2 linked regions of the Arabidopsis thaliana genome follow. The protein of the gene in region 2 interacts with the protein of the main gene of each other region in a pairwise test. Each region holds a gene or a part of one and is shown on either strand. Other genes may lie near its edges.

Region 1 (14,956 bases), on a different chromosome or scaffold from region 2:
AAAAAGCATATCGGCGGCAACATGTCTGAGATTCGCAATGTTCTCGGCGGAGGTTAAAGAGGATTGGAGAGAGGCGGCGTTAGCGAGATCAACACAAGCATTCCAGAGGCGAAAGCTGAGTTTCCATATGGTAAGCTTGAAGGAGTTATCGGGAAAAGGAGCAAGTTGACTCAGCCGAGTTAGGAATTGTCTAAGAGAAATAGGGAGAGATTGAGGTAGCGGCTGATCTTTGGAAATGGCTTCAGATTGTTGGATTAAGAGCTCGATCTCGGAGAGAAGAGGATGGTGAGTGTGTGAATCGGTTTCCCGGTGATGTAACCGGAGGTCCGGCGTGGTGATCTCGGCGATTCTCATTTCGATTGTTGGCGGGAGATTTCAGAGAGAGAATTGGGAATTTCGAAGGACCGAGTCTGAGAGAATAAGATATTTTCGAAATTCAAATTAGGGTTAGTATTGTAATTTACACCTCCTGTGTAGGTTAAGGAAAAATAATAAAATACAACATTAAAGATATAATAATTAATAAGAAAATCTGAGTATTTTTTTGTTTTTTGTTTTGAGTAGGGTTGATCCTTAAAAATACTAAAACCATCCGTACACAACAACAACATCAAAGGGAAAGAGAACTAAGGAGAGGAGTTAAAAAAGAGCTGCCACAAGTTAACACCAAAGGGGAGTCACAGTCACAGTCACATTTTACCATTCACCTTTTTTTATCACTAGTGAAAGTAAGGAGGAGGAGGAGGAGCCTGGTACTGATAGCAGTTCGCGTAGAAGTTCCCATGTGCAGGAGCAGGATTGAACGTGTAAGTCTGAGGAGGAGGAGGTGGTGGAGGTTGTGCTGCCATGATTGGACCGCTAAGGAACGGTCTGTTGTCATAGACATACTGCGGATACCTTTCAGGGATGACTCTACCGTATCCTGTCTTGTTGTTGTTGATGTTGTTGTTGTTGTCAGTGACTCGGGGTTGAGCACCACGTGGTCGTTTTGGCTGAGGTTTCATGGGTTCTGTTGCTCTCTTTTTGTCCGCTTTGGCTTTCTCGAGCTGGAGAATCCGTTTGTGAAGTGGCTCAACTGGGTACTGCTCTTCCAGGCTATGCTCTTCGATACACTTTATAACGGTTTTGAGGCCTATAAGCTCCCGCTCATTGAACTCATCCTGCATTGGTACACACATAATAATGTACAACAATATGAGACTGATCCTGCATCAGCAAGTACTATGATATACGCCTAAAGTAATTGATAATGAAAGCATCGGTTTTCAGTTTCAAATGGTGTTAGAAGTCTGGAGTAAAATATGACAGCTAACTGAACAGAGCTCAGGAATGTTCCAGCGAGGTAAGATTTACTTTTTCAAATAGCCAGATGCTCGAGAAAAGGTAACGAGTTCAATAAAAGATAAGATCACTCGTTCTAGGCAAAATGCATTAATATAGCCCTTCATTTTCACCAACAAGGTAATCTATAACTGCAAGTTATCAAGTCAGGGAACACTTGCCTGAACAGCAGGAGATGCATTGCCAGGTCTGCCTTGGGGGGAAGATCGCCTTGCCTCTATCAAGTAAGATTTCAGTAATGAGACAGGTGAGAACTGTTCTGTGAGTTCAAACGCAAATGCCAAGTTAACCGCATCAATCTGTTTTCCACTGTTCACGAGAACTTCAATCACACCTGGAATAAAAGGAGCAGTGCACATTAAAGATAAGATCAAGGGATAAGGTAGAGAATCTGGGTGTAAACTAAACAAGGAAAAACACAGATATCCACCATGTTTAGGCCCTTGACCAGAGACCCTATCACTCACTAAATAGTTACTATCAAACATCAACTTTCCTATCGAAATGTCATAACCTGTAAGATAATCAGCCATATACTAAAAGTTAAGAGAACAAACCAGGCATTTTTTCAGCTAATCCAAGTGAACGGCAGAGCTCAGCTGCCTGACGGCGACGTGAAACCATGGGGATCAGCTTTAAGAGTTCATCTTCTTTAAAATCAGCAACAATAGCAAAAGTGGCCAGCAGTTGCAGGAATGCATGAGCCTCCAAAGAATTACCATTGCAAGCATCCATGTCAAGAGATTCCAGCAGTGGATTCCATCCTTCTGCAATAGTTTTGGCTCTATGCTTAACATTTTGTGAGAGAACAACAGCAAGGCAGTTGCGGTCCAGACCAGATAACAGTATGCTAAGGCACTCCATCAACATGATACAGGTTCTGCGCATGCCCAAGAGGTTAGCGTCTTTTTTTCCATCAGCAGTTGGTGCCTCCATAGGGTAAAACCCTTCCAAAGAGTCCAACACTAAGCTGGCTGGGTTTGCTGCAGCCCTGAACGCCATAGGAATCTCCTCCTTTAGTGATGCAAGGTTCTTGCGGTTATCTGATACAAACTTATGGAGACCCGTTGAGTCCATATCCCCGCACAGTTTCAGTAACTGTGGATAAGCCTTCACCTCATAATTTCCCATCACAGGTGAGATCTGAACATCTTGCACAATACCATCCGGATTATCATCGGTAATACTATCAGCAGCAAAGACATTGGATGAATCCTCTACAGCATTTTGTGGCCAACGTTCACCAACAGAAGGTTTACTGACAGGAGCGTTGTTATACTTATCCAAAGCACTGTTTATAGTAAACATAGCTGCGTCTCTCTTCTTCTGAAGCCTTTCAAGCGCCGCCTTCTCCTTAGCCTCAACAGCTGCCTTCTTTTTCTCCAACAGTTCTTGAGCTTTCCTTGTTTTGGTTTCATACTCTTTTTCTTGATCTTCAAGCTCATGAAACCTTCTCTTCAAAGACCTCTCAAGCCCATGAAAATGCTCCTCAAGTTCCTTCCACTTCAGATTAAGTGTTACAGCACGCTGACTTTCAAGTTCAGCAAACGCCTTCTGAAGCTGCTGAATCTTGGATGATGTAGAGTCCATGAGTGAAGCAACTGACCGAGTATCCTCCATCACAAAAGAGCCTAAATAAAACGGAAATTTAAGTAATGATTAAAAAGTCCCGAACAAATAAAAACAAACATGAGTACAACGACATTAGAGGCCAGACACAATATTGTTACCAATTCAAACAAGTCCAATCTCCAAGCTGCGAATAGAGAGCTCCACGAAATCTCGATCCTTGAACAACAAACAACTACAAAAAAAAAAATCATCAAGAACAGATAAACAAAGATCAGTCAAAACTATCCAATGACAATATCACTCGTTAAAGATAAAAACAAATTAGCTCTGTAACAAGACCGTACAAGTCATAGTGGACAACTATGTAAGAAAATGGCCTACAAGGCAAGTAAAGACAAATGAACAAGAAACCCCCAAAAAAATGAATCCATTCAAGAAAAATTCACACTATTTTTTAGTCACAAAGATAATTCAACCTCAAGAACTAATCAGACGTACTTATAAAAAAATTAGCTGAAATAATACAAATACAGATTAAGAGAAGAGTAGATGACGAAATGAGAGTAGAAACAAGCAAGCTGATTCAGTGATTCTATGAAATCCCAGCTTAATCCATCACATAAACAAACTTCACGACCAAAATTCAAGGTCATAGCAGAAATTTTGAGCTATATTGTGGAGAAATCAACAAACCCTAGCTACAGTGAAGAGAACACGAACATGAACTCAAAACAAAAAAAAAGTATATACCTCAAGAGAAGATAAAAAAAAAGCAACTTTACCAGGAAAATCAAACGAAGTAAAAACCCGTAAGAAGAAGAGATCAAAAAACTTCAAGAAGGACCACATGATCGTAGATCCATGGTGAAGAGCGATCGAGAGAAATCGAGGTTAGGCAGAGAGAGAGAGAGAGAGAAGAGGAAAGTGAAATCCCTAAAAAGGAAAGAGGAAAGTAGAAGAGAGGCAAAATAAAAGGAAGCAAAGCGATTTATAACAGACACTTTATTAAGCACACCCAATTTTACTTAGTTGGCACGTGAGAGAGACTGGTGTGGTTTAATGGCTCGTTCTTCACTATCATATCTGGTTCGGACCAGACAGCTTATGTGGCTCTAGTCAAACCCTTTAAAGTTTGCGTCACGTGAGTTTGTCTGAAACTGCCGGGAACTTGTAATTTACTCTTTCCTCCTTTTTTTCTATTAATTGGTATATTCACCATCTATGTGTATCAATCACTCTTTAAATTCCTTAACTTTTTTTACCAAACACCCAATCTTTTTAACCTGTTGACGAAGCTTTGGCTTCATGCTTAAGGCTATGTTATAATGGGGAAAAAACTAGATTGCACAATCTTTCATAGACTGATATTCTTCATCGGATGTTTCGATCATATAAATTGTCTCCAAGGATGAAACTATGTGTCTAATTTTTTTGAATGCAAAATTTATATATGATTGTTTTCTTAATAAGAGCAACAATGAAAATATAGTTTGGTTATACATTGGTATTTGTCAAAGAGGAAAGACTAAACCAAGAGTAAATAAATCTTACAACTTCCCAAATTGTTGGAATTCTACAATTGTATTATATATGGTGAATGATTTGGTACAAAACATTACAAATATCAAATGAATTTCGAAGTTGGTTCAGGTCACGAATGGCGGATTTGGCTTGGGAGAGACTAGAGGTTGTGATTCGTGGTTTATCTCCTCTCTAAAATCGTTATGTTACAAACTGACTATCAAGGATAATCATATCAATCAAGATAATGAAGAGAATCAATATCGTCAATCACGTTAATTGCTCATAATCATTGTATACAATATTAAGTTTCCTTCAGTAGCTTTCTAGTCTTTGTATATAAACACTCTGTAATCATCTTGTTTCATATATTCGATATACTCTTAGTCTACATGGTATTAGAGTCTCTGTATATAAACACTCTGTAAAATTTCTAAAATCGTTATGTTACAAACTGACAATACATAAACAACACGAATTAACATTTTGGGGTGTTTGCTGAACCGTGGTTGGCGGGTACATCTGCTAAATGAACAAGCTTTTTATATATATATATATATATATAACTGTCAACCCATAATTTAAAGATTCCAACAACAACAAAATAAGTACTACTCCTAATAAGTATTTAAATATGTGACATGATATTCAATTTTTGTGATACAAATTATTATGCATTGGTATTTGTCAAAAACTAATACCAAGAAAACATTTCTTGTAAATGTCATATTCCATTCTTTGATTTGGTCAAAACACCAAAACCATTTACAAAATATCCAGAATTATCTAAAAACGAATGAAAAGCGAAAAATACCAAATGGAAGAAAAATTTGTCCATCTCCTAACAAACAAGATAATATATATGATGATGTTGAAAAGTCAAAAAGAGAAGAAAGAAAAAAAAAACATTTAACGCGCAAAGACCGATTTGGTTTTTGTTGGGAGTCATTGCGTTCTCATCATCAGTGTCTCTCTTTTCTTTGCCCCATTCTTCACGAACTTTCACTAGACGACGACGACGATCCAAAGTCCCAGTCAACTCACTCACAAAGACGACTCCTTTATTAAATTATTCCCAACTCCTTTCTTCATCATCATCATCATCATCATTCATAACCACTTAGCCACAGATGCGATTTTCTTCTCCTTCTTCATTGTGCTCTTCAACACTTATGAACAAGAGCACCACCACCACGACAACGACGACTACAAAGACCAAAGCTTTCGTTTTGTGTTTCTGATTTTGATTCGTAAGTTGTTGTAAATTTTTCTAAGTCAACTTCAATTTTAAAGATCGCTTTAGTCTTTTTGATTCGCTGGCGATAATCCAATTTTCGTTGTTGCTAATAAAGTTTTGATTTTTTTTTATTTGCTTACAGGATTTTGATGCTCATCGAAGAGAACCCTTGATTTTGTTGCTGTAGTTCATAGAGATTTTACACATTTTGTGGAATTTAGTGGATTTATGATGATGGGTAGGTTAGTTTTTGTAATCTGGCTCTATAATTGTCTCTGTTTGCTGCTACTCTCGAGCTTGGTTGACGCGGATCAGGCCAACATAGATTGCTTAAGGACCTTTAAATCTCAAGTAGAGGATCCAAATAGATATTTATCGACTTGGGTTTTTGGCAACGAGACTGCTGGTTATATCTGCAAGTTCAGTGGTGTGACTTGTTGGCATGATGATGAGAATAGGGTTTTGAGTATTAAGCTATCTGGTTATGGTCTTAGAGGAGTGTTTCCTCCTGCGGTTAAGCTATGTGCTGATCTCACTGGTTTAGATCTTTCTAGAAACAACTTCTCTGGACCTTTACCAGCCAACATTAGCACCTTGATTCCACTTGTTACGATTCTAGACCTCTCCTACAATAGCTTCTCTGGTGAAATCCCTATGTTGATCTCCAACATTACCTTTTTGAACACTCTTATGCTTCAGCATAACCAGTTCACGGGTACTCTTCCTCCCCAGCTAGCGCAACTTGGACGGCTCAAAACATTCTCTGTGTCTGACAATCGTCTCGTTGGTCCTATCCCAAATTTCAACCAAACCTTGCAGTTTAAGCAGGAATTGTTTGCTAATAACCTGGATCTGTGTGGTAAGCCTCTAGATGACTGTAAGAGTGCTTCTAGCTCTCGTGGTAAAGTTGTTATTATAGCGGCAGTTGGTGGACTGACTGCAGCAGCATTAGTCGTTGGGGTTGTTTTGTTCTTCTATTTCCGTAAATTGGGTGCTGTTCGGAAGAAGCAGGATGATCCTGAAGGAAACAGATGGGCAAAGAGCTTGAAAGGACAGAAAGGTGTTAAGGTAAAAACATCATTGATTTGAATTTTGCTGTATGTGGTTATGTTCTAAATTTATGATATATGTTTGGTGCTTTTGTGAATGTTCAGGTTTTCATGTTTAAGAAATCGGTTTCAAAGATGAAATTAAGCGATCTTATGAAGGCAACAGAGGAATTCAAGAAAGATAATATCATTGCAACAGGAAGAACAGGAACTATGTACAAAGGTAGGCTTGAAGACGGGTCTCTACTTATGATAAAGAGGTTGCAGGATTCTCAACGCTCTGAGAAAGAGTTTGATGCAGAGATGAAGACTTTGGGCTCTGTTAAAAACAGAAACTTAGTCCCTCTCTTGGGCTATTGTGTTGCCAATAAGGAGAGGCTTCTAATGTATGAGTACATGGCAAACGGTTACCTTTATGATCAGTTACATCCTGCAGATGAAGAATCCTTCAAGCCCTTGGATTGGCCTTCAAGGCTGAAAATCGCGATTGGGACGGCAAAAGGATTGGCATGGCTTCATCATAGCTGCAACCCGAGAATCATCCATCGCAACATAAGCTCGAAATGCATATTGTTGACTGCAGAGTTTGAGCCAAAGATCTCGGATTTCGGTCTAGCTAGGCTGATGAACCCAATTGATACCCATTTAAGCACATTCGTCAATGGAGAATTTGGGGATTTCGGTTATGTTGCTCCCGAGTATTCAAGAACCATGGTTGCAACTCCAAAAGGAGATGTCTACAGCTTCGGTGTTGTGCTTCTAGAGCTAGTAACGGGCCAAAAAGCAACGAGTGTAACAAAAGTATCTGAAGAAAAAGCTGAGGAAGAAAACTTCAAGGGTAACCTCGTGGAATGGATTACAAAGCTATCAAGTGAATCAAAACTGCAGGAAGCAATCGACAGGTCCTTACTTGGGAACGGTGTGGATGATGAAATCTTCAAAGTACTCAAAGTAGCATGCAACTGCGTTCTACCGGAAATAGCAAAGCAGAGGCCAACCATGTTTGAAGTTTATCAGCTTCTAAGAGCCATTGGAGAGAGCTACAACTTCACCGCCGATGATGATATCTTAATCCCATCTGAATCAGGTGAAGGCGATTTCATTGAAGAGCTCATAGTTGCTCGTTGATCAAGAGGAAGGGTAAGAATTGTGAAACAAACATCTCTAGTCGTAGCAGTCCAAAGATATATATAATGTATAAGTATTGTTTTTATTTTATTTTTGGGTTCTCGTCGTCGATGGTGTGTTGTAATATGATATATTGTTAGATGCACTCTCTTATTACTATGTACTAAGCTTTGGGTGTGTGGTACAGTCACTGTTTTGGTTTTGCCACTACGTCTTTGCTGCCTTATATTTTGCAGCACTAATTTGGTTGAGGAGAATACAGTCATCACGTGGGATATCTTTGAAGACTAACTATGTGCTCGATTTGGACCCACTGACTATGGAGATTTCAACGAAACTCTGTCCGAAATTGGACAAACCACAAATATATTGCAATGACGAATGATTGGGTCAAGAATACCAAATTCAAAATAACTAGACTTAGTCAATTCTTGGTTTTCTTTTTTTTTTGCTTAATTCTCGTCGACAATAATAGAAGAATTAACAAGTGTTCTTACATCACCTTTTCACTTCCAATTTTATAGGAATCCATGATTCCATTTCGTTAGCTCCTTGATGTAAAATTTCTATTTAAGGACACCAAAACAAATATACAAAGCAAAGATTAAATTTTCTACAAAAACTTCTTCTTTTAAAGTTTAATTGAGACCGCATTAGGTTTCCATGCAGCTGAATGAAAACATACATGTACCGATTAACCATGAAGTTTCGTGCACTCGGCTTAGTTCTTCTATTAGCAGTGGAGACTTGCAAAGCTGAAGAGATTACGTGCGAAGAGACCAAGCCATTCACATGTAACCAAACTGATCGTTTCAACAGAAAACATTTCGATGATGACTTCATCTTCGGTGTTGCATCTTCTGCTTACCAGGCATGCAACAGATCACATATTCTCCCAATTTTGACGTAAAAAACAATTCACTAACACTAAATTCCAACGTTGCATGGTTGTTTTGTTTCACTTCAGATAGAAGGTGGAAAAGGCCGTGGCCTTAACGTTTGGGATGGCTTCACTCACCGATATCCAGGTTTGTCGTTTGCATGGTTGATATATAAAGGCTTACATATTTATACGAGAGAAGTGTCGGTACGTTATCTCTCTATACATTCATAGTAATGTCTTTGTACGCTACCAGAGAAAGGAGGACCCGATTTAGGGAATGGAGACAGCACTTGTGGATCATATGAGCACTGGCAGGTTAATACGTGTGGAATTACTGAATTTAGTCACTGAATTTTTATCAACTACGTGTGGAATTTACATGTGATTATTTGTATTACTACAGAAAGATATAGACGTAATGACCGAACTCGGGGTTGACGGCTATAGATTCTCGCTTGCTTGGTCAAGAATCGCTCCAAGTATGTACACATTAATCCATGCATGTATATATGAATATATATTGTTTGTCGTAAAAATAAATCTACGATCTATATGAGCAGGAGGAAAGGTGAAGAGGGGAATCAAACCAAGCAGGTGTTAAGTACTATAACGATCTCATAGATGGCCTCCTAGCAAAGAATATAACTCCTTTTGTTACCCTCTTCCATTGGGACCTTCCTCAAGTTCTGCAAGATGAATATGAAGGTTTCTTGAACCATGAGATCATGTATGTTATCGATGCCATGCTACTTCTTAATAAATATGACAACATATAAAAGATTTGATCTCGCATTAACGAAATGATTCTATAATATGAGCAGAGACGATTTCAAAGATTACGCGAATCTATGTTTCAAGATATTCGGTGATAGGGTTAAGAAGTGGATCACGATCAACCAACTCTATACCGTTCCTACTAGAGGTTATGCAATGGGAACAGATGCACCGGGTCGATGTTCTTATTGGCTTAATAAAGATTGTTACGCCGGAGATTCTGGAAGAACCTTATATCGTTGCACATAACCAGCTTCTTGCTCATGCCAAAGTCGTCCATCTTTACCGGAAAAAATATAAGGTGAGTTCTCTGGTTGAAAAAGATATAATCTGACATCTGATTCTAGATAATTTTATATATATATATGCAATGCTTCCTCACAACAGCCAAAACAAAGAGGACAGATTGGAGTTGTGATGATTACTAGATGGTTTGTTCCATATGATAGCACTCAAGCCAACATAGATGCGACTGAGAGGAACAAAGAATTCTTCTTGGGATGGTATATCTCTCAATATATCCAAAAATAAATAATAGATGTACATTTATAGAAACTTATTAAGGCATGTGTATAAAATAGGTTCATGGAGCCACTAACAAAAGGTAAATACCCTGATATCATGAGAAAACTTGTGGGTCGACGCCTTCCAAAGTTCAATAAGAAAGAAGCCAAACTTGTAAAGGGTTCATATGATTTTCTTGGTATCAACTACTACCAAACTCAGTATGTCTATGCCATTCCCGCAAATCCTCCGAATAGACTCACCGTCCTGAATGACTCGCTCTCAGCATTCTCATGTACATCTATATCTATATTGCTATTTAGTTACAACTTTTCTTTACAAATACTATCTTCTTAATTTGTTTACAATATTTTGTGACCATCCCATTACTTTATCTTTGTGTTTACAGATGAAAATAAAGATGGTCCCATAGGTCCATGGGTATGCATGCATGATCCATCCCTATATTTCATTATTTTTAAGAAAAAGATAACATACATAAATATACTTGGGATTTATCTATGTTTCCCTTTCTCAGTTCAATGCAGATAGTTATTACCATCCAAGAGGAATTTTAAACGTGTTGGAGCACTTCAAAACTAAATACGGAAACCCATTAGTCTATATCACTGAGAACGGTGAGTTACTTATCCTTGTAATTATATTTTTTTTCTCTTTATGCATGTTTAGTTAATTTATTTCTAAATCGGTCCAAGAAATCGACTCATTTGTGTAACTGGTAACGATGGTCTAACTAGGATATAGTAGCCCCGGTGGTGACACACCCGCCCTTGATGTTATAGCTGATTCCAACAGGACTGATTATATATGCAGTCATCTCTGTTTTCTCCGTTAGGCCATCAAGTGAGTGGATTCTACTCGTCTTCCTATCTTCTTCTACTTAATTTTTATATATATGTATATGGATGTATGATCAACAAGAAAATTGTCTCTAATGATTGTTCCTGTTTTTAGGGAGTCTGGTTGCAATGTGAAAGGATACTTTGCTTGGTGTCTTGGGGATAATTATGAATTATGGCCATCAAGATCATTTCATGTCTCCCCTTTCTACTTGCTCCATAGAAAGGACAAAGGAGCGTTCCCTTCATTCGAAGCATAATTCATCTAGTGACTGACGATTTGAGTTATATATTCATCCTTATTGTTCGTTTGGACCTCTTTGTTGATGTTTAACGAGTTATGATATAAGAAAAGGGAGGAAATTATTGCCATGCTTAAGGCCTAGAGCACTGAATCTCGACACTTTTTAATTTATGTTTTAAGTTTTAACCATTCTGTTGTAGACTTTGTTGCGACATAGCCGTCTCCAATAAATTAGTTTGGAGACTCACATTCAGATTCAAACAACCGATGTCTAAACGTTCTGATGAATCCCTATGATCTTAGGCATCATATCTTGATTATCCAATGTCGTAGCTTAGGGCATCCAAGAATGTTGGTCGACCAACACCAATGAATTATGAACCATCGTATCTCCATGTTCTTTACAGTCTCTTTCCCTAAGATTGAATATCTTCTTGTGCTAGGTAAGGCTCCAATACCATTTGTAAGTGTAGAAGAAACACACAATAACATAATTTTAACAAGCTTAATCAACATGCATACGTTCTCAAATTTTATTGAAATTGTTGATTGTAAAATTAGAAAAAAAGACAAAGAAAATAAAGAATGTTTGATGAGAATCAGACAGAGTGCTCTTTAAGCTAACCTTGTAAAAAAAAAAACACTAAAGCAAATGTCAAAAAAAGAAACAATCTAAAAAAACTCCAAAGTCAAAGGAACTAAAAATCAAACAATGTCCTTCCTTTGAATGATTCACCATCTTCTCTTTCACCTTCCCCCATTTTCAAAAACCCAGAAACAAAGCTTCTCACTTTCTTCACCCAACCATGAATTCCCCAAGACCCATCTCCGTCGTCTCCACCTTCGCTTCACCATCCTCCACCTCTGACCCAACCCGAAAACCCTTAAGCTTATGGCCAGGTATGTACCATTCACCTGTCACCACCGCTCTTTGGGAAGCCAGATCCAAAATCTTCGAATCTCTTCTCGATCCTCCTAAAGACGCTCCACCACAGAGCCAGCTTCTCACCAGAACTCCTTCTCATAGCCGTACCACCATTTTCTACCCTTTCTCCACTGATTTCATTCTCAGAGAGCAATACAGAGATCCTTGGAACGAGGTCCGTATCGGGATCTTGCTCGAAGATCTCGATGCTTTAGCCGGCACTATCTCCGTCAAGGTATCTTCATTTGCCAAATTGAGTGATAAAGTTTGATCCTTTTTTAGGATACTGTGAATCTCTGTCCTCTGACTATGGTTGTATTATAGGTTTTAGTGATCTTATTGTGTATTTGATTTTCTGACTATGTTTCTAGTATAGGTTTTAGTGATCTTATTGTGTATTTGAATGTGTCTGTACATTGTGATACAGCATTGTTCTGATGATGATAGTACAACGAGGCCACTCTTGCTTGTTACAGCTTCTGTTCATAAGATTGTCTTAAAGAAGCCGATTTGTGTCGACATTGATCTCAAGATTGTTGCTTCTGTCATTTGGGTTGGTCGTTCATCTATCGAGATTCAACTCGAAGTTATGCAATCCGAATTGAGTATGTGTATAGTCGTCTACTAATTCAACTTACAAGCATGTATCTTGAAACTAGAAATTAAAAGACTTCTGTTTTGTTGTTGTTGTTGTTTTCAGAAGATGTCAAGGCTTCTTCAGATTCTGTTGCTTTAACTGCAAATTTCATTTTTGTGGCGCGTGATTCTAAGACTGGTAAAGCTGCTCCTATCAACCGTCTTTCTCCTGAAACCGAGGTTGAGAAACTTCTCTTTGAGGAAGCTGAAGCTAGGAATAACTTAAGGAAGAAGAAGAGAGGAGGTGACAGAAGGGAATTTGATCACGGGGAGTGTAAGAAGCTTGAGGCTTGGTTGGCTGAAGGAAGGATTTTCTCTGACATGCCAGCTCTTGCTGACAGAAACAGCATTCTTCTTAAAGACACTCGTCTTGAGAATTCGCTGATATGCCAACCGCAGCAGAGGAACATCCATGGTAGGATCTTTGGAGGGTTTTTAATGCATAGAGCATTTGAGTTGGCTTTCTCTACTGCTTATACGTTTGCGGGTCTAGTGCCTTACTTCTTAGAAGTTGATCACGTCGATTTCCTAAGACCGGTTTGTAACCAAATCACTTCTTACCATTATCTTCTTGTTCACGTTCGTCTTCTGTGTAAACTTACGCTTAATGGACTTAAATGACAGGTGGACGTCGGGGATTTCTTACGTTTCAAATCCTGTGTTCTTTACACTCAACTGGATAAACAGGATTGTCCGCTCATCAATATCGAAGTTGTTGCTCATGTTACAAGTCCAGAGATTCGCTCCAGTGAGGTAAAATTCTAACTTGATGATGGAGCTTTCTTAAACGGTTGTTAAAATTGAACTTGCTCACTGATTCTATCTTCATGCCAAAATTTCTTGAACCTTATCAGATTTGAAGCTCATTATGTTAATTTTGAGGTCTCTTTTCTGTTACATATGATGTAGGTTTCAAATACATTCTACTTCAAGTTCACTGTAAGGCCAGAGGCAAAGGCCAGAAACAATGGGTTTAAACTTCGAAATGTAGTTCCTGCCACAGAGGAAGAAGCTCGTCATATCCTCGAGCGCATGGATGCAGAAGCTTTGAAGTCAAGCAAACAACAATGTGTAGGCACAATTCTTCAGTAATGGTTATGGTGTTTCTATGTTTAAAAGACCTGGCTTATCAGGTTTATCCTCTGACCACAAATTAACTAGAAATGTAGATGCATTTCTACTGTATCTAAACGATTCGCTAATATGACCAAAGATATGGCTTACTTGTGCAACTCATTGATTTGTGCTTGTCGTAAGGGTAACATGTTAAAGCATCAAAATTAGAATCATAGCATCAAAACCTAATGAATTGTCTTCCAAAAACTCATACAGAATTATCCAGAAATGGCGTTAGTCATACTGGTTACAATACAATGAAACTAGAGATGCGTTCCTAATCATTACATTAAAAATCTTACAATGGGAATCAGTCTCCCATTTCCTTACACACTTGGTCTAGAACAGACAGGAAGTCTCTCACAATCATGAAGATTCTCATTGTGTGACCTTCCTTGGAAGCATCTCCATGGAACTGCTCTGTGACCTCTTCCAATGCAGAGAGCGTTGAACTTTCTCGTATTTTAATCTTCACAATCTCCTCTGCAGCGGTTTTCAAGAACCGGGTCATCCTCTCCTTGAACTTCAGCCATTGATCTCCATATGAACCACTCTCCTCGCTAAGTAGCAAAAGCGCTTCAATGTTCTTGAGTCCTTGGCAAATCCTTGACACATTGCTTCTTAGTACACCATACTCAATGTCTGCCGATTTCTTGACATTGCTCAGTTCTGTATTCAGGTTTCTGATGCCTTCTAAAGCTCTCACACTGCCTTCTGATTTCATCATTTCCTGAACAACAAAATGCAAGAGACTGCTTCTTCCATCTAATCCCTTGACATCAACGAGCTTGAGGAGCGTGTCGAGTTTGAAGGCATCCGCATCCCCACAGCGGTTTGTTCTAACACTCATCATGTTTCCTGTCTTCAGTATAGCTTCAAGAAGTATCGAAAACATTCTACTATTTCTTAGTTCTTCACAAGCAACCTGCAAAAGCAGATAAGTTTAATGAGTAATGAGACATAACATAAGATTACATCATTAGACACAAATATGTAAATCCGCAATCATCAGCATTACCTGAACAACACTGAATGATTTTCTGAGACGTTTGATCTCCGAATGGAAATTAGCCACAAAAAGCAATGCATCAACACGTTTAAACACAAAAGGCACATGAAGCAATTCCTTAAGAAACCTCTCAGCTGGACCAATCTCTGAACCATCA
Region 2 (16,403 bases):
TTGTTTGTTTATTTATTTATTTTCATTTTATTGTAATAATTATTAAATACTGTCGAAATAAAGCATTTTTGTGTTAGATGTGTAATATTCTGAAGAAACAAAAATGTCAAATTAATGGATAGAAATTTACCGAAAGCACTCCATTGCATCATGAAATTAAAACTGAAAATGATAATCCAACTGAAAAACCAGTTTGACACTGTTACAAGACTACCGGCGGTAATTTTCACATTCACCGGAAACACCTGCCATAGATAATGAATAAATTGTTGTCCAAAAAAAAAAAAAGATAATGATTACATTATGAAATATTTCTAGTTTAAAATAAAAAAAAAAACAAATACCTCAGACATAATAACCCATGGTAGTCCACCTAGACCAATGCCAAAGGATAAGACATAACCCTGGTATATAGTATGACTTGGTTGATTAGTGTTGTGGTTTCAACAAAGTAATATATGAATTAAACCAAAAATAGTAATTGACTGAAACAAGATTGGCATTCACGTACCACTAAACCGACGATTAAGATAGGGGAACAAAACTCTTGAAAATCACCATGGTTCTGCTTGTGGGGGATAAATAATATTTAGTCTATAATAACCAAAAATCAAACGAAGTTACAAAGAATAAAATAGTTAAGATGACTAAACCTGAAGATAGTAAGAGAGGCCAATTAAAAATGAACATATGCACAGACCGATAGAAGAGCTCTGCAAAAAAAGTTTCAAACCACAAATAAAATATTTATCTAGGGAAATCAATTACGCAAATTATATATAACGAAGGTAATGAAATGATTACCATCAAAAGTGGTCGGCGTCCACATCGGTCGACGGCAAACATGACAATAATAGATTGCGGTACCTAAAAACAAGAATAAGTTGTAGTGAAAATGTGAAATACTATATTTTCGATTATAAAATGTTAAATACTAAAAAGACAATGTTTTGATTTACCAAAATAACTGCAAGGATGGATGTTCCTATGTCGCTTGGAAAACCTAAATACCCAAGACAATATATTCAAAAATCGTGAGATGAAATGCGATACAAAATCAAACAAGATATGACATGCCAATGATTTTTTTTTTTTTTTTTTTTTTTAAATCATGGTTTACCGGCTGTGTCGAAAATACGAGCAGCATAAGCACTTATCGCCGAACTCCCACAAAATTGTTGCAAGAGCATTAGGCCCAATCCAATCTAATCGTTTTCAACGAATTAATAAACAAACAAAAACAAATTAATCTTTATTTATTTCACTAAACAAGTTAAAACATTTTTTTCCGTTAGGACTTGGGAGTATTTCATTCATACGTATAGGCAGAATGTTAGATCTACATACGCATAAATACATGTCTATCTGTTTATTAAGTTGATCATCAATAGGTCACAAAACTAGATAAGAACTCGATCTCTTCTAAATTATTTGTATAAATGATAGGTATTTGATGAGACTTACGATTAACGGATGTGCGTTTTTCATATTGAACAAATCTTTTAGTCCACTTCGAGATTCTCTTCTAGAGGTTTCCACTGTTTCCTGTTTCACATTTTAAACCGAATTAATAGTTAACCAAAATACGTATATGTTAGCCAAAGTAGTAGTAGTATTTTCGGAACAAACAATAATACTCTGATTTCAGCTGCTTCTTCGAGAATATCACCATTTTCTCCTCTTAGCCTCTTCAAAGTAACCTCAAGCTCTCGTTCTCTACCATACATAGCCTAAGATGAACATTAATATGTAGACTGTACCTTTTAAATATAATATTACCAATTAAACAAATAAAAAACAAACTTTAAGTGTGTGAATTACCAGCCATCTAGGTGATTCAGGAATAAAAAATAAACATATCATTTGGATACCACATGGGATTGCACCTAGTCATAGATTGAAAATCAAGAATAAGTTAAATAATGTGAATTAAGTACACACATTATAATTTTTTATGATTTGAGATATAGTTCATTTAGAGAAAAAATATAGTTACTTAAAAGAGCTAATGTTCTCCAATGAAAAAAGTTTCCGGTGAAGAACATGAGCGATATCCCAAAACTTTGTAGAAGCTGCAAGTTCAAACGCAAGATAACAATAATAAATTAAATATTCTGAAATTATAAGCTGTTTGATATAATTTGTTTCATTCTTACTTGATTGGAAAAAGAGAATCCTCCACGAAATGCTTTGGGCGTAATTTCTGCTATATATACAGGAACCTATTTGTTTTGATCAAATCAAATGGTGTAAAACGAAATTACTATATCAACACTTTATAAAAGTAACAAATAATTTGTTTTCAAAACAGATGATAAAGTTAATTACCACATAACTAATGAGACCAACCCCAAACCCCAAGAAGCCTCGACCAATATTTAACAGCATTTTATCCTTGAAAATAAACCACAGCAAATGAAATGTTAACTTTATTAAAAAATACTAAACTTGTGAAAAATAAATTTAAAAGATGGAGATTTGGAGAAACAAACATGTGCAAAGGCTACAGCGAGCCAACCAAAGATGCAGAAAACATCCGCGATCCACATTGTCTGCGATCAAAGAGATGAACAAATCATAACGTGTATATTACGTCATCTTAGAAGGTCCTACAATATCAAAAACAAAAAAAAAAAAACAGTGGCATAATAACATTTGAATACGAAACAAAATTTAATTACCTGTCGACGACCAATAACTGCAGCAATTTTTCCACTAAACGCGGCCGTAATCATTCCTCCCAATGTCATTACCGATGTGAAAAACGAATACTGGCCAAAATATAAATAGACCATTATTTTAGTAAATTAGGAGTAATAATTGATTATCGATGTAAAAAATAAAATTAGTTATTGATTTGGTCACACACATGGATGACTTACATCTGCAACGGAAAGTCCCAGTTCTTCCATGATTTTGGACTGAGCAGGCGATGAATATGACATCTTCAAATTATGATAGTGCACAAAATTAGGCCACAAGTTGACATCAACTCAAAATCACATAATATTCAAATAACAATTTTGAGACAAAACAGCTATTGAACAATTACCAAATTCAAAACAGATTTTGATTAAAAAAATAAAAATTCCAATCTGAGGCATGTTAGTTGAGATCCATGAGGAACACTAGAAAACCAAATGAAAGAAAAGGAAAGAGTGATGATGAAATCTCACAGCGCAGCCATAAACGAAAGAGCCAGTGACAGCGACGGAGGTACTAAGAAGAAGACCACAAGTGATGGAAGAAGAGCTTCTTGCTTCTTCTTGATTATTCACCAGAGGTGTTTTCATACTTCCAGATTCCATCTTCTTTTGTTCCTTCTCCTAATTGCTTTTCCCTGTATTTCTCTGTTCTTTAATAGTCTTCACTCTTGAAGCTTGTATTTGGCAGTGACTCATTGGTCGTGTCCCATGTGAACAACTGTTATAGATATTTGTTGACTATATATAGTAAGATAATAGAAATCTCTTTATGTCGGCTATCGTATAAATTATTGATTTATTCTTGTTGCTTGATCAATAAAGGTTACATCATAGAACTAAAATCATATGAAACCGAATCGATCAACCCTGGCCATCTTTTAAATAACCATCAATACATTGGGATGATCAATCCACAATAAATGTATTGATGTAAATTAAAAATATGAACTTGTAACAGATCAAGATTCAGGGTCTAAAATTATAGAAAGCTTAATAATGGAGGACTATTTCACTAAAATCACTTTTCGTTTGTACATTATTTTCAAAAAGTAAAAGGAGATGTACGAACCATAGATCACATAATAATTGAAAGGGTAGATGATCTGCCACGTTGGCAATCCGTGTGATCTAAAGTCTAACAAATCACAATCAATCTTAGTAGCCTATACATATAGAGAAGAGCAAAACCCTAAAGCCCACTCATCTTCTCAATTCCCAGATCATCTACAATAGTCATTTCTCTTCGATTTCTTCAAACTCTCATCAAATCGTTTATCTGTTCTAAATTTCGAAGAAGACGATGAGTACAGGCGCAGGAAGCGGAACAACCAAAGGTGGCAGAGGAAAGCCAAAGGCCACCAAATCCGTCTCTCGATCATCTAAAGCCGGTCTTCAATTCCCCGTCGGAAGAATCGCTAGATTCCTCAAATCCGGTAAATACGCCGAGCGTGTCGGTGCCGGAGCTCCGGTCTATCTCTCCGCTGTTCTCGAGTACCTCGCCGCCGAGGTAATTTATTTTTCTTGTCTTCCAATTTGGTTTTCAATTTCGATTTGGTCACATCTGAATTGGATCTTGTACTGATTTGATTTTGATTTGGTTTGGGTTGATAGGTGTTGGAGCTGGCGGGAAACGCAGCAAGGGATAACAAGAAGACACGTATAGTACCAAGACACATTCAGCTTGCAGTGAGGAACGATGAAGAGTTAAGCAAACTTCTGGGAAGTGTGACGATTGCGAATGGAGGAGTTTTGCCAAATATTCATCAGACTCTTTTGCCATCCAAGGTTGGCAAGAACAAAGGAGATATTGGATCTGCTTCTCAGGAGTTCTGAGGTTCTTAGACTTCTTAGTTCAGTTCTCTTGTTTGGATTCGGAACTTGTAAAATAGACCCTGATGGTGTTTTTTGGGGATCAAATTAGGTTTTAAAGCTAAGTATATTTGGCTTTTGCCTAAGTATGTTTAATTAGTGAATGATATGATATTTCGGAACGAATCATGTATCAATGGAACTGAATTAATCGATATATCAACCCAGAAACATTTTGAAACACAAACTATGCATACTTGATTCTTTATTGCAGATACATGCAACTCATGGAGCCTAATACTAAACATTGCTTTGATCATGTTTCAATTTAACCAGACTCATTTTTTAATTCACCCAGGGAGTAAAACTCATTAGGTTTTGGGCCTAACTGCCTCAGTCATGGTAATCCTGAATTAACTTCACTAAGTTACCCTCATCTGTTGGTTCGCACCTGAATTAGCTCGCTAAATTACCTTCATCTGCAGTTTTTTTTGCTTACCAAGAATCGAGTTCTTGAAAATTGTTATAATAAAGATAAGCGCAGAACACTTAACAAAATGGGGATGTAGCTCAAATGGTAGAGCGCTCGCTTTGCATGCGAGAGGCACGGGGTTCGATCCCCCGCATCTCCAATCTAATTTTTCCAAAAATATTAATTGCCTAATTTTGAAATCATGTGTCAATTGAGAATCCCATGTTTTTTTTTGTTTTCCTTCGTTAATAATGCAAAGCTCAACAGCGTCTATCTGAAAGACGGCAAATAATTTAACATTTTCATATATTACCAACGTATCTACTTTGATGCGTCAGACCGTCAGTGGTTTATATCATGTTATTGTGATGCAAACAAGCTAAAATATATATACATTTCGCAAATTCTGTTCTGTTTTTTGTTTCTTTCTTTCTAACAAACCTTACGGTTTAAATCCAACCTAAGTAAATTGAGAACATGATGATAACTATGGTAATAAGGTGACACCAAAATAATTCTATGCAAGAAAAAACAGAGACTAGACTATGCTGCTGAACTCAAATTGCTGGAGCTCCGATCGGATTAATCTTTCTCGAACGGACATAGGTCAGAAACTGGCCGGGAAGTTCTTCTAGAAGTGCCTGCACCACCGACACTAGTCCACCTGCAACCCCACCAAATTAAACATTTACTACCAATCCAAAACGCATCTAAACACTTTACACTATCCGTTGTACATAAGGAATTTAAAACTCACTATGGATGTCTTTCATAGGGACAAATTGAACGATGTCCCGTGTAGCTATTCGACCAGTAGAACTCTCTAACCGCCGACCATTATCAGCATCAAGCATCTGAAATATTTACAAGGTCAAGTCACTGCATGTTTACTATTTGCAAAGAGACAGATATAAAACCTAACTTGACAAAACAAAACTTGTACCTCCATTTGTTTGAAGTCTGTGTTTCCCACACCGACGATAAGAACTGACAACGGGAGATCAGAAGCTCTCACTAATGCATCTACTGTACCCGCCATGTCTGTAAGGACTCCATCCTGTTCACACATCCATTTTTTTTGTCATTGAAGCTATAGATTTACTAGTAACAGATGCACATTCGATCTGAACTGGGCCAAAGTCATTACGTATCTGAATGTTCAGTCTCTTACCGTAATGATGAGCAGAACAAAGTACTTGGGACTGTTTTGTGAGAGTGACTGTGAAGCAGTATGAGCAGCCTTGTCGACCACATTGCTAAATAGAGTTGGTCCTGCTAGAGAAACATTGCGAAGAGCACTCGCATAAGCTACCATGATTCCTTCAACTCCAACAACCTGAAAACGAAAAGAGAATATGAAGCAATGTGAAACTTAACATGCAGTTTTGAGAATGCAATGTTTCATGGTTTTCAAATAATGGACACCAGTATGCACACAATATCAGCTCCAATAATAAAGGGAGATAACAGTTTCTGTCTCGTAAGTTACCTCGTCGCCATATGATGCTCCATTCAAGTTAAAAGCATGGGACACAGAACCATCCGATGTTCTTCCTCCAAACCCCCAGGCAGGAAACCGCTTATCAGAATCATAAAACTGGATGACCTCTCCTACTTCCATAATAGCCTGGAAAAAAACAGAAGCCAAATTATGTTTATACATACAATAGATCAAGGGAATCACGACACTGAAAGAAAAATTAATGAGACGATGGTTTTATACTGAGAATAAGCATATAGTTAAATGGCCAAATCTATGCTATTTCATTAGCCGCTGTGAGAGAACTAACCATTCTAGTCCAAGCAATGTATTGGTATTGAGGATACAGATCACAAACAAAAGAAACGAAGGGGTAACAATAGTACCTGTTGATATGAGTTTAATCTGCCTGATGGATCAATGTAGTGCAAAGAACTTGGAGTTCGGGGATCGCCATTTGAAGCTGAAAGACAGACCATCAATCTTAATGATCAAGGTTTCTAAGTAAAGATAAGATATATATGAAGTAGAAGAAGGTGAATCACCAGTGAAGTCAACTGCAACCATGAAATTAAGTTCAAAGCCACTGGATATGTAATCAAGAAAACTGTACTGGACTTTCTCCACATAACGATCCACAATGAGCTGGCCTTTCAGAACCTACAGAAACCCAATAAAATCTTAACGAAAATAGATGAAAATAACTGTATTAAGATTTCAATCAAGTGGTACGACTAGGCACCTTGTTTCTACCGTGACTTAGAGATGGATAGACAAAGTTTGCAGCCTCTTTCTGGAGACAAAGTCTCTCCAATTCTGCTACAGATTTCTCTGTCTTTCTGCAAGGTTCAGTATAATTGTCAGTAACAAAAATCAAAAATGGTGAGACCCGGTAGAATGTTAAAGGTTAACATGTTACCCAATAAGTTCATGATTCCCACTGGTGTTAAAATCTAAGCACTCGATAACCAATGGGGTGTCCTGCATAAACAAAACAATCAATTTAACATAATGATTATTTCAAATGTATACATTGAATTACAGTGAAACAACTAGCTTACTTTGCTTCCAAATTGTTGCATAGTCAAGCACACAGGCCTCCACATGGGGTTGAGGTTGTTGTCCACGACCTCAGTCCGACAAATTGGGACTGCAGCACTTGTCTCAACAACTCTTGATATTCTTAAGAAAGGATCCTAGAAAGAGAAAATAAGATAACAAGTTAAAGCTTCTGCAAGAAATCATAATATTGTTACCTAGAAGGACAAGAATGCATAAGTTTGTACGTACACTCTTAGAGAACAAGTCCTTGTTATCCAAATTGACACAGCGAAAATTAATCTCAGCGACAGTTTTAGAAGCAACTGTTTCTTCAGCTTGGATAGAGAGTGTTCCCAAATTTCTATTCACACCAGCTCTAACGTTGCCAGTAAGAGTTAATGTCAGTGTCCGGTTTTGTCTTGTCATAATCTGGTGATTGAAAGAGGAATGTAAATTGTAAGTATTAGATATGTCGTACACAAAGAGCAGTAACACTGACTAATGGCCAAACAACAATGAAGCCATCACAAGTAGCAGTGTCTGATTACTGAATAAATTTACCTCGGACAGAACACATGTGCCTTCTCCCAAGAAATCCTGATCCTTTAGCTTTAATGTCTGCAAAGTTATACAGTATATTGAAACCACTTTTGATGTGTAGCATTTATTATCGATATGCAAACTTCTTGATGTTACTATCAATGAAAATATTACCTTCACTGGCACATTATGATATCTGGTATCAACATCATACACGTGAAAACTGAAAAGAAAAAGATTCATACAAGTTTAAACATGAGTTCAACATGTGCAATTTATCAGAAAAGAATAGTTAACAGTTGCATACACTAATGTCTGGACAGCTTCAAACTGAAAAGAGACTGTTATCTTCTCAATCCACTTAGGATTCAAGTTGTTAAGTATGACTTCAGTACGGCCAATTTCCTCAAGTCTCCCATCCTTTTTCCTCAAATACATGACAGCCATCGGATCACTCTACAATAAATCGAAAACTCATCAGCTTCACATGTAACTAAAGTAAATGGCTTTAAATCTCATACGACCATGTCCAAAAAGTTTAATCTAGTAGTAATATTAGAGATGATTCAATTCTAGGAATACCTTAGACGTTATGTCACAGTCCAACAAGTTTGAAGCCGACAAAGTTAACTGCAAAACACAATTGCACAATGTTAAACACAACTTAAAGGTAAACCTGTGAAAAAAGTTTATGATATTTCATGATAATGAAAATCCTAAAGAAAGAGTGTAAACTCAAAAGCAACAAGCAAAAGAAAGCGAAAACTTTAAGCCATCCTTAAGTCACAATAACAAATCTTAAGGAAAAGTTCCTTTTTCTTTTCGTATCAAATAGTGCAAATATTAAATGGTTGCACTGAGGGAGAAGTTGCAGAGTAGTAGTATAGTATTATAGGGTTATGTTTCATTGCAATTTACTTTAAGTTATAGTTTTCATTGCATAGCCTGGCCTACTTTCTCAGAAACCAAACAATAAGCTAAAGATATTAATTAAGAAAACACACTTTATACCCCACATAAGAAGATTCAATTCAATAAACTATAACCCCACGCACGCAAAAGAGAGAGAAAAAACATGGACAAAGACTGAACAGAGGGTCAATGGGCTAGCTCCATTAGAAAAGTACAAAACAAGAGGGAATATCTTATCCAGTATGGATAAAAAAAAGGAGAACAAGGATCCTTAAACAAAAGCAATAATCTAGTGTTTAAGCAATATTCAATTCACAAATTGTTAACTTGGTTGACTAATCCAAATGTGACCACATCATATACTAGAGGAGCTAAACAAACATAAAAAACACCTGACTTTAGTACCTCGATTTGAGAAAAGAGAGGATATTGACCACGAGATCTGAAGAAAAAATCGACGGCGTCGTTGTGAGCCGCATTGTTGGCGATGGTTGAGGAAGTGGGTCTCTGCTGGACCCCTCCAATGGCTTGTTTGCCTCCTTTCACATCTCCAGATAAACAACCTCCCATTCTCTCTCTCTCTCTATCTCTAGATTTAAACCCTAAAAATCCCAAATTTGGAGTCAGATCAAACCCTAGATGAATTCGCAAAATTTCACAATGCAGATTGTAATATGATTAACACAGGATTCTGCAACTTCTCTAGCTCTGTATATATATATGTATATTGAAAAGGGATACGCGTAAAAGAAAAATAGAACTGGAAAATCTGAAGTTTTTTGATTTAAAAAAGCAAAGAAGATTTTCTCAGGAAATTGGTTCGACCTTCCAAGAAATCGAAACGGTTGGTTGAATCCTTTGTTTGGATATCAAAACGCGTTTTGGTTTTCGAATTTAAAGGAAACGTCTTTCGATCATTTAACACTTTAACTAGAAAAAAAGGTTTCAACTTTCAATTCAACCTAAAAGTTTTCTCGTTTCTGCGAATTTTCCTTCTCCTATTCTCTCATAAATTTCCTTTTCGCGCGAGGTTGTTTGTGCTAGGAATATAATTAGAATAATTAAAAATGAAGCTAATAATTCCAAAATTTTAATTAGACTAGATATTGTTTGAATATTAACTTACGGTTAATAATTTAAGTATTAAGGATTAGGTAGTGTTTTACAATTTTGGGTTTAGAGTTTAGCTTTTCAACTCTATCTTTTTAGTTTTTTTTAGATATTTGATTTAGATTATTATGTTAATTATAGAAATTAAAATCTATTTTTCTTAATTTGATATGATTATCATACTTATGTTTTGTTTATGACATTGTGTATCTCGTGTTTTTTTTTTGTTTCTATTTATTTTGACTCGAGTCTTGTTTGTTGTTCTTCTACATTGGATGGTCGTTATACACGTGTGAAAATTCAAAAATGTTGTTCCTATCTTGCACTTTTCTGCCGCCAACATAAAAGTGTTATATAAGAGACTAATTCAACTAGAGGTGGCATTTTCTCTGAGTTATGCAGTGAGTTCCCAAAAAATTCCAAGGAAGTCTAAATAGCCTACAACAAATATTAAGCCTAAAAGAGATTTGAAAAGTAATTGAAAAGTAATGAGCAGTGACTTGCTTGGGATTTCAGTTTCAAAATAGTTTGTCATATGTTTTGTTTTTTCCCCATGAATTGTTGGATTTAGTTTGTCTCTCGCTGAATCAATAAGGTTTGCTAGGAAAATCGAAATCAAACACTAATTTCAGCACGGACACAACAAACATTTGTTTTCTAATCGAGATAAATTTTAACATCAATTCCGTTATCAATAAGGGACTGGACAACAGCTCTGATTTTCCCTTCAAACTTGTCTTGGTCCCTTGGCGTATAAGAAGCCGTGTACACATCAGCTTCTTTTGCACGCTCAGACAAGATCCTCCCTATGGACATACATGCCGGGATATCACATCTTGACCTCAGAACAGCTTTTACGTCTTTAGAGTTTGTTCCCGCAACAGCAACTTGCCTACATGTAACACGGTGCGTGAGAGATGCCGAAACAAAGCGCTTTGAGATGAAGACATCTAGAGTGAACGGCTCCATGTATGCAACTGTTCGTTGCTTGAACGACACATGCTTGTCTGGATTCTTCGACTTTTTCTCTTTTTGGTATGTGTATGGCCGGCTTGTGTCGTCATCCACGTAGTCTTCTACACCAAAGAAGCTTCTTGGTGCAAAAACAGTCTGTCAAGAATGGTAAAGCCAAGTCAAAATAGAAACAGATACAAAAAGACCAAGAAACGATAGCTGAAAAGACTCAATACTTAGAACAGAGCTGAACTTAATGATTGCAAAGTAGGCTCAGTAAATCTTATAAAATCCAGCTATTGCATACTGACTCATCTAAATGGCCAGACTAAAAGTATTGGCACTATCAAACACCAACAAACCATTGAGAGGTGGAACAATCCAGTCAATTACTTTAATGAGCTACAATTTATCTAACTCACCGTTTAACTAATTTGGGTTCTGCTCATACAATTCATCTAACCTCTTTCTAGCAAACAGCAACTAAAGCTAAAGGGAGTGGTCTAACGTCGGATAAATCACATTCAACATCGTTTCCAAGCAGATCTAGTTATGAGATTTCAATCAAACAGGAGTCACAAGGAACTGCACAAGACCTGATTCAAAAGAATACGCTTCCTCTACTAATTCTACTAAAAATCAAACTATTCAGTCAAGTAAACAAAGTGGAAGAACGGTGGAGTGTACCCGTCCATTGTGGAATCGACAACTGGTTTGGCACATGAAAGGTCTAAGCTTTTCTCTGTTACTTCCATAAATCGCCGCTTTACCTATAGAATACTTGGCAACCACTTGCTTCAACATTATATCTGCAACCACCTACAGAAAAATTCAGTCACTAGGAATAATAGTGCTCATAAAGACGTTCTATGTTCTATGATATAGCTAACTGCTAAAACTAAATTAAACCGGAGGTCACTAGTCAATAAGGATAGTAGCTTTGTCACAAAAGTATGCTTTCTTTTAGTGTCCATTCCATTACTGCATCCCAACATATTGAAGACTTCTTATTGCCCAGAAAACGAAACCATTTGTAATAAGCAATAGAGAGGCAAACAAGTTGACTTCTCTCAATAACAATCCAAAAGATAGAGAGCAGCTAAAAGCTTGTGCCAAGAATTTATAATTTCTAATTGCCAACATGATATCAAATTAGCAGCTCGTAAGCTATGGAAATGAAAAGTATTGAAAAGATTAACGAATATGATGACCTTAAATCATTTGAAGAACACACCCCACGATGTGATCATAACAAAATTCACTTCTTTTATAGAAAATTTGACTCGTCTTCAATTCAAATGCCATGGATTCTGTATCTGGAAGCTCAATTTGAAATAAAAATACACTAACGCACCTGGAAATCGATGGCTAGAGCACGACGGGTTGATATTGCAGAGGATACTACACTCAAAGAAAGCTGAAAACCCACCCACGGAGATAGAAGAAACTAAAATTAAGATTCAGTAAACGAAATAGGTTAGGTGCTTCGCAATGGCTGCCAAGGTTGAAACGGGCAATTGTTCTTCGGAGCTCCAAACATTGAAGATGAAGATTTTCTAAAACCCTACAAACGCAAAATTTGGTCTTCCGTCCTCGGAAAGTTACTCGTTTTTCATTTTCTCCCCATAAAAAGCTAATTCAACTATTAACACCCAAGGGTCACCGGTTTTATTATGGTTTTCACACCGGGTTAAGGACATTAATTTGGAATCTTGACCGACTTAGCTGGTTGAACCGGACCGTTTCCGGTTTAAGAAGAATAAAGACGCGGGCGGGGTTGAATTAAATTGATTTTCAGAGGAACCGAACCTTCACCTCACGACTCTCTCACTGCCTCACTCACCGTCACCGTCGCCGTCGCCGTCGCCATTGCTTTCTACTTCGCCGTGCCTGGTTAGTTTTCGGAATCTGATTTTCATTTCCATTTCGTTCCTTCTGAATTCTCAACTTTGTCTGCGATTTTCAGAGGTAGCGAAGTTCGTTTATGGAAGCTTCTGCTGAGTCTAGGTTTGTGGAAGCTCCATTAATTTTGGAATTTACTGGAATTTCCGGGGATTCTTCGTCAACTACTTTCAGGACTTGTTGTTGATTCTCACAGCGTGATCCTGAGAAAGGTATTTTACTTTTATGCTTTGTTCTTTTGAATTTCAGATTAAGATATATAAGAATCCGTTATACAAAATTACAATGAAGATTATATGAAGTTTCGAAGTTTCAAGGCAAAGTTAATATGCACGAAGTTTATCAGCTCCATCAAAATTTCAGGGTGCCAAGTATTAGCCATTGGAAATGCCACCAAGAAAGAAGCCCAAGTCTTCAGCTTTGAAATCAAACAAACAATCTTCAGCTAATCATTCGTCACAACCTTCCACCTTTGGCATCCAGCAGTTGTTCCTTCGACATATTCAGAACTCCCAATCAACTTCCAACTCTCATACCTCCACTGCTGACCCAGTTGATCAACAGAATGTGAATGGTCTTGCCTCTGACACTGCAGTTTTAACGCCTCAAAACCCTCTAGGCACATCGAATGAGAAACCTGATGAGTCCAAAGATATGGACCAGCAACTCACGGAGGCATCTCCTAAGATCTCCAAAAACCTGAAGCGCTTCTCTCCTGGAATGGTAGTTTCTTTTCTTATATTCCCTTATATTCTAATTTAATAGTTTGAATGGGTATGTTTTTCTCCTTAATTGCTGGTTGATGTAATTGCAATTACCCTATAATATCTGCTCACATGATTGAGTCCCTTGTGGTCGTATAATTCTTACATGCTTCTTTTATGTTCATAGCTGATAAAGCAAAGTCAAGATGACTGTGGTGGTGAGATAACTTGGAAAATCTCTCCAGTAAATGAAAGACTTCGGGCAGCTGCTAAGAACATTCCTAAGATGATGGACTTAACAGAAAATTCACTAGGGGTTAAATCTTCTACCATTCGCCCTTGCTCTCTGAATAAGGCATGTTTACGGCTTTAAATTTTCTTTTAAAACTAATTCTTGGTTCGGTAGCTGTTTCATTTCCCTTCTTCACATCGAAACTGACAGCAGCTAGTGCAGAAGCAATGTCCTACATCAGGTATAACTTCCAAGGTTGAGCAATGGTTATCTTCACCCTCAAAAAAAGCTTCCAAAAGACCAGCTTTTGCAACAAATAGGGTCATGGAAAGGGTAAATCCTTCCCCAGATGCAGAGTTTGAAATTGTTAACACTTCAAGTAGTGGAAACAGTCCTTTCCAGACCCCACCGTCTCTTTCATGCCCTCACAACAAGGTAAATTACTTTCCTGATAAACAGATTTATGAGCACATTTTATCTACTTCTTAACTTTGCTCTGTTTATGTTCAGCTTCCTTGTACTGTAACGTGCAGCGGAGCTTGTGGATCTATGGGGGCTGGACAACATAAAAAGGTATGATTTGAGACTTGATGCAGTCTTTTAGATGCTTATGAAAGGCGTATTTAGAGTATTATGTAAAATGTTTTGTCACTTCCACCTGTGGTTGATCAAGACTACATGCATTATTTCCTCTAGAACTTGTTTTCTACAGCGTTTCAAATTATTATTTCAGCATATTGCCTCTTTTTGTAGGCCTTGCTTGAACTATTAGATCAAGTGGAGGATGTCATCGCAGTTGATGACAAAACAACTGATGATGTGGGGATTGTGATGCCTCAAGCTCGAGTTAAAGATGATATCATCTCTTCTGTTGTTGATTGCGCTGTAGATGAAGGGCCAGTTTCTCTACCAAAAATGCAGAATTCCATAAATCCAGATAGCTATTTCCTTGTATTGGAGGTAAAGTTGGCCTTAATCGAACTTGGGGGGTAGCAATGTGGTTTTCATGTAAAAGTTACTCATTGTCCAGAGTTGTAACTACAGGTATCGGAGAAACGTGGCTCGGGTAGCTCATCTAAGGGTCAATGTCCTTATAAGGTTCGTCATTTACTCATAGATTTTCTCTTGTACATGCTCATATTTGCTGACTAAATTTCTCTCAGGTTCTTCGCTTGCTAGATGAGCACACAGGAGTGGAATGCGCTTTGTATCTCTGGGATGAATGGTACTTTATTTTGTATGAAATTTAGGGTGATCTCTGCTTTTCAGATCAAATTTTTTCAAAAATAGCAAGTGGTCGTTACTTTTCCATTCTATTTTTGATGAAGCTATTACACCTTGTTCTTTAATGTCTTGGTCTTGAATGTTTTTGCCATTATTAGTTTCCAAATGTCGGCTGATTGCATACTACACATTTTCTTGTTGTTTATCTTTCTATTCTCTTAGCATATGGGACATTTATATATCATCCATTCATTTCCCAGTTGGTTGAAACTTGATTTCGGAACACTGAAGGCTTATTGTTACCAGGTTTTACAGCACTGTATCACCAGGAGATTCAATCAATGTTATTGGAGAGTTTGATGGGGATGGCAAGTGTGACGTGGACCGTCAAAACAATTTCTTAATTGTTCATCCTGATACCCTTGTTGCCGGAACTAGGGTATTATTTTCGTCTTCCCTTTAAGGACTCTGTCTACAACTACCAATCTTCTTTGCACTTAATTTAGTTGTTGTTGTGAATAACTGTTCTACCTTTCAGGTTGCTGCAAGTTTTGGTTGCCCAAGGCGAACCGTGCTAGATGAGAGGCTCAGATCCAATGAACACGCTACAGTAGCCTTACTTGGAACCTTGCAACACCAAGTTTTTCAGGTTTACTACATTATGGAATCTTTTTGATGAGAATTCTATTGGAAAATGAGTGTTTTTGTTTGATTTTTTTGCAATGTACTGATCTGTGCTATCCATTTCCTTTGTTTTCCAGGCTGGTCTCTCGCAAGAATCTCCATCTGTAGATGGTTTGCAAGAATATGCAAGCACAGTGATTGAGAAAAGTATTGAGAGCTTATATGCATGCGGAGGTTGATTACTACATTATGTGTTCCTATTATTTGAAGGTTCATGCAGTTATCATATAGCTAGGATACCTCCTATTCATATCAGAATTTTGAGTTAATATAGCTAGGACACCTCTTATTAATATTAGAATTTTAAATTGAAATAGATATGATACCTGTTTGTTCTATGTGCTTTTAAGATTCACATTACTTCAGAATTTTGTTTTGCTTTTAATACCAAAATGCTACGAGTTGACCCAATGAAATACACTTAATCATTTTCTTATTTGATCATATGTTCTCTACAGTGCATGAAGGAGACGTGAGATCAACTTTATTTAAAGCTATCCCGAAAATGTTGAATTGGATTGAGCATTTCAGATATTCGAAGGTACACTTGTATTTTCCTATTTATGATTCTTTCTTTAGTTACTAATGGCTGTTATATCATTGTTTCCCTTGAACGTAATTGTTTTGGCTACTC

What was found.
Region 1: the proteins of BON3 (region 2) and BIR1 interact in a two-hybrid assay, tested with the Arabidopsis thaliana proteins (one study listed by BioGRID).

What each region holds. Positions count from the first base shown.
Region 1 is NC_003076.8:19,597,476-19,612,431, reverse strand, and holds BIR1 (BAK1-interacting receptor-like kinase 1), read left to right. Parts: upstream 1-5,284; 5' UTR 5,285-5,684; intron 5,685-5,813; 5' UTR 5,814-5,899; coding exon 5,900-6,739; intron 6,740-6,825; coding exon 6,826-7,848; 3' UTR 7,849-8,343; downstream 8,344-14,956. Other genes in the region: AtSPO22 (Tetratricopeptide repeat (TPR)-like superfamily protein), read right to left, coding at 1-354; AT5G48385 (FRIGIDA-like protein), read right to left, coding at 720-1,160, 1,503-1,675, 1,899-2,961; TGG3 (thioglucoside glucosidase 3), read left to right, coding at 8,549-8,696, 8,820-8,876, 8,985-9,046, 9,135-9,210, 9,308-9,458, 9,553-9,680, 9,733-9,806, 9,893-10,008 and 4 more; AT5G48370 (Thioesterase/thiol ester dehydrase-isomerase superfamily protein), read left to right, coding at 11,920-12,273, 12,466-12,643, 12,739-13,211, 13,299-13,427, 13,584-13,766; AT5G48360 (Actin-binding FH2 (formin homology 2) family protein), read right to left, coding at 14,101-14,715, 14,809-14,956.
Region 2 is NC_003070.9:2,835,279-2,851,681, reverse strand, and holds BON3 (Calcium-dependent phospholipid-binding Copine family protein), read right to left. Parts: upstream 9,714-16,403; 5' UTR 9,530-9,713; coding exon 9,365-9,529; intron 8,678-9,364; coding exon 8,630-8,677; intron 8,504-8,629; coding exon 8,355-8,503; intron 8,271-8,354; coding exon 8,222-8,270; intron 8,126-8,221; coding exon 8,069-8,125; intron 7,937-8,068; coding exon 7,757-7,936; intron 7,663-7,756; coding exon 7,528-7,662; intron 7,448-7,527; coding exon 7,386-7,447; intron 7,306-7,385; coding exon 7,209-7,305; intron 7,127-7,208; coding exon 7,012-7,126; intron 6,930-7,011; coding exon 6,853-6,929; intron 6,614-6,852; coding exon 6,476-6,613; intron 6,323-6,475; coding exon 6,158-6,322; intron 6,044-6,157; coding exon 5,930-6,043; intron 5,841-5,929; coding exon 5,744-5,840; intron 5,651-5,743; coding exon 5,544-5,650; 3' UTR 5,332-5,543; downstream 1-5,331. Other genes in the region: AT1G08890 (Major facilitator superfamily protein), read right to left, coding at 131-245, 345-404, 512-565, 654-713, 805-867, 960-1,003, 1,121-1,205, 1,465-1,545 and 9 more; H2AXA (Histone superfamily protein), read left to right, coding at 4,006-4,212, 4,317-4,538; AT1G08845 (Ribosomal L18p/L5e family protein), read right to left, coding at 10,727-11,179, 11,711-11,842, 12,378-12,470, 12,867-12,893; emb2411 (DNA replication helicase), read left to right, coding at 13,313-13,648, 13,817-13,984, 14,075-14,296, 14,372-14,434, 14,615-14,821, 14,906-14,959, 15,025-15,086, 15,392-15,524 and 3 more. UniProt on the Arabidopsis thaliana protein: Negative regulator of cell death and defense responses. Repress a number of R genes and may have effects in promoting growth and development. May function in membrane trafficking and in fusion of vesicles with plasma membrane.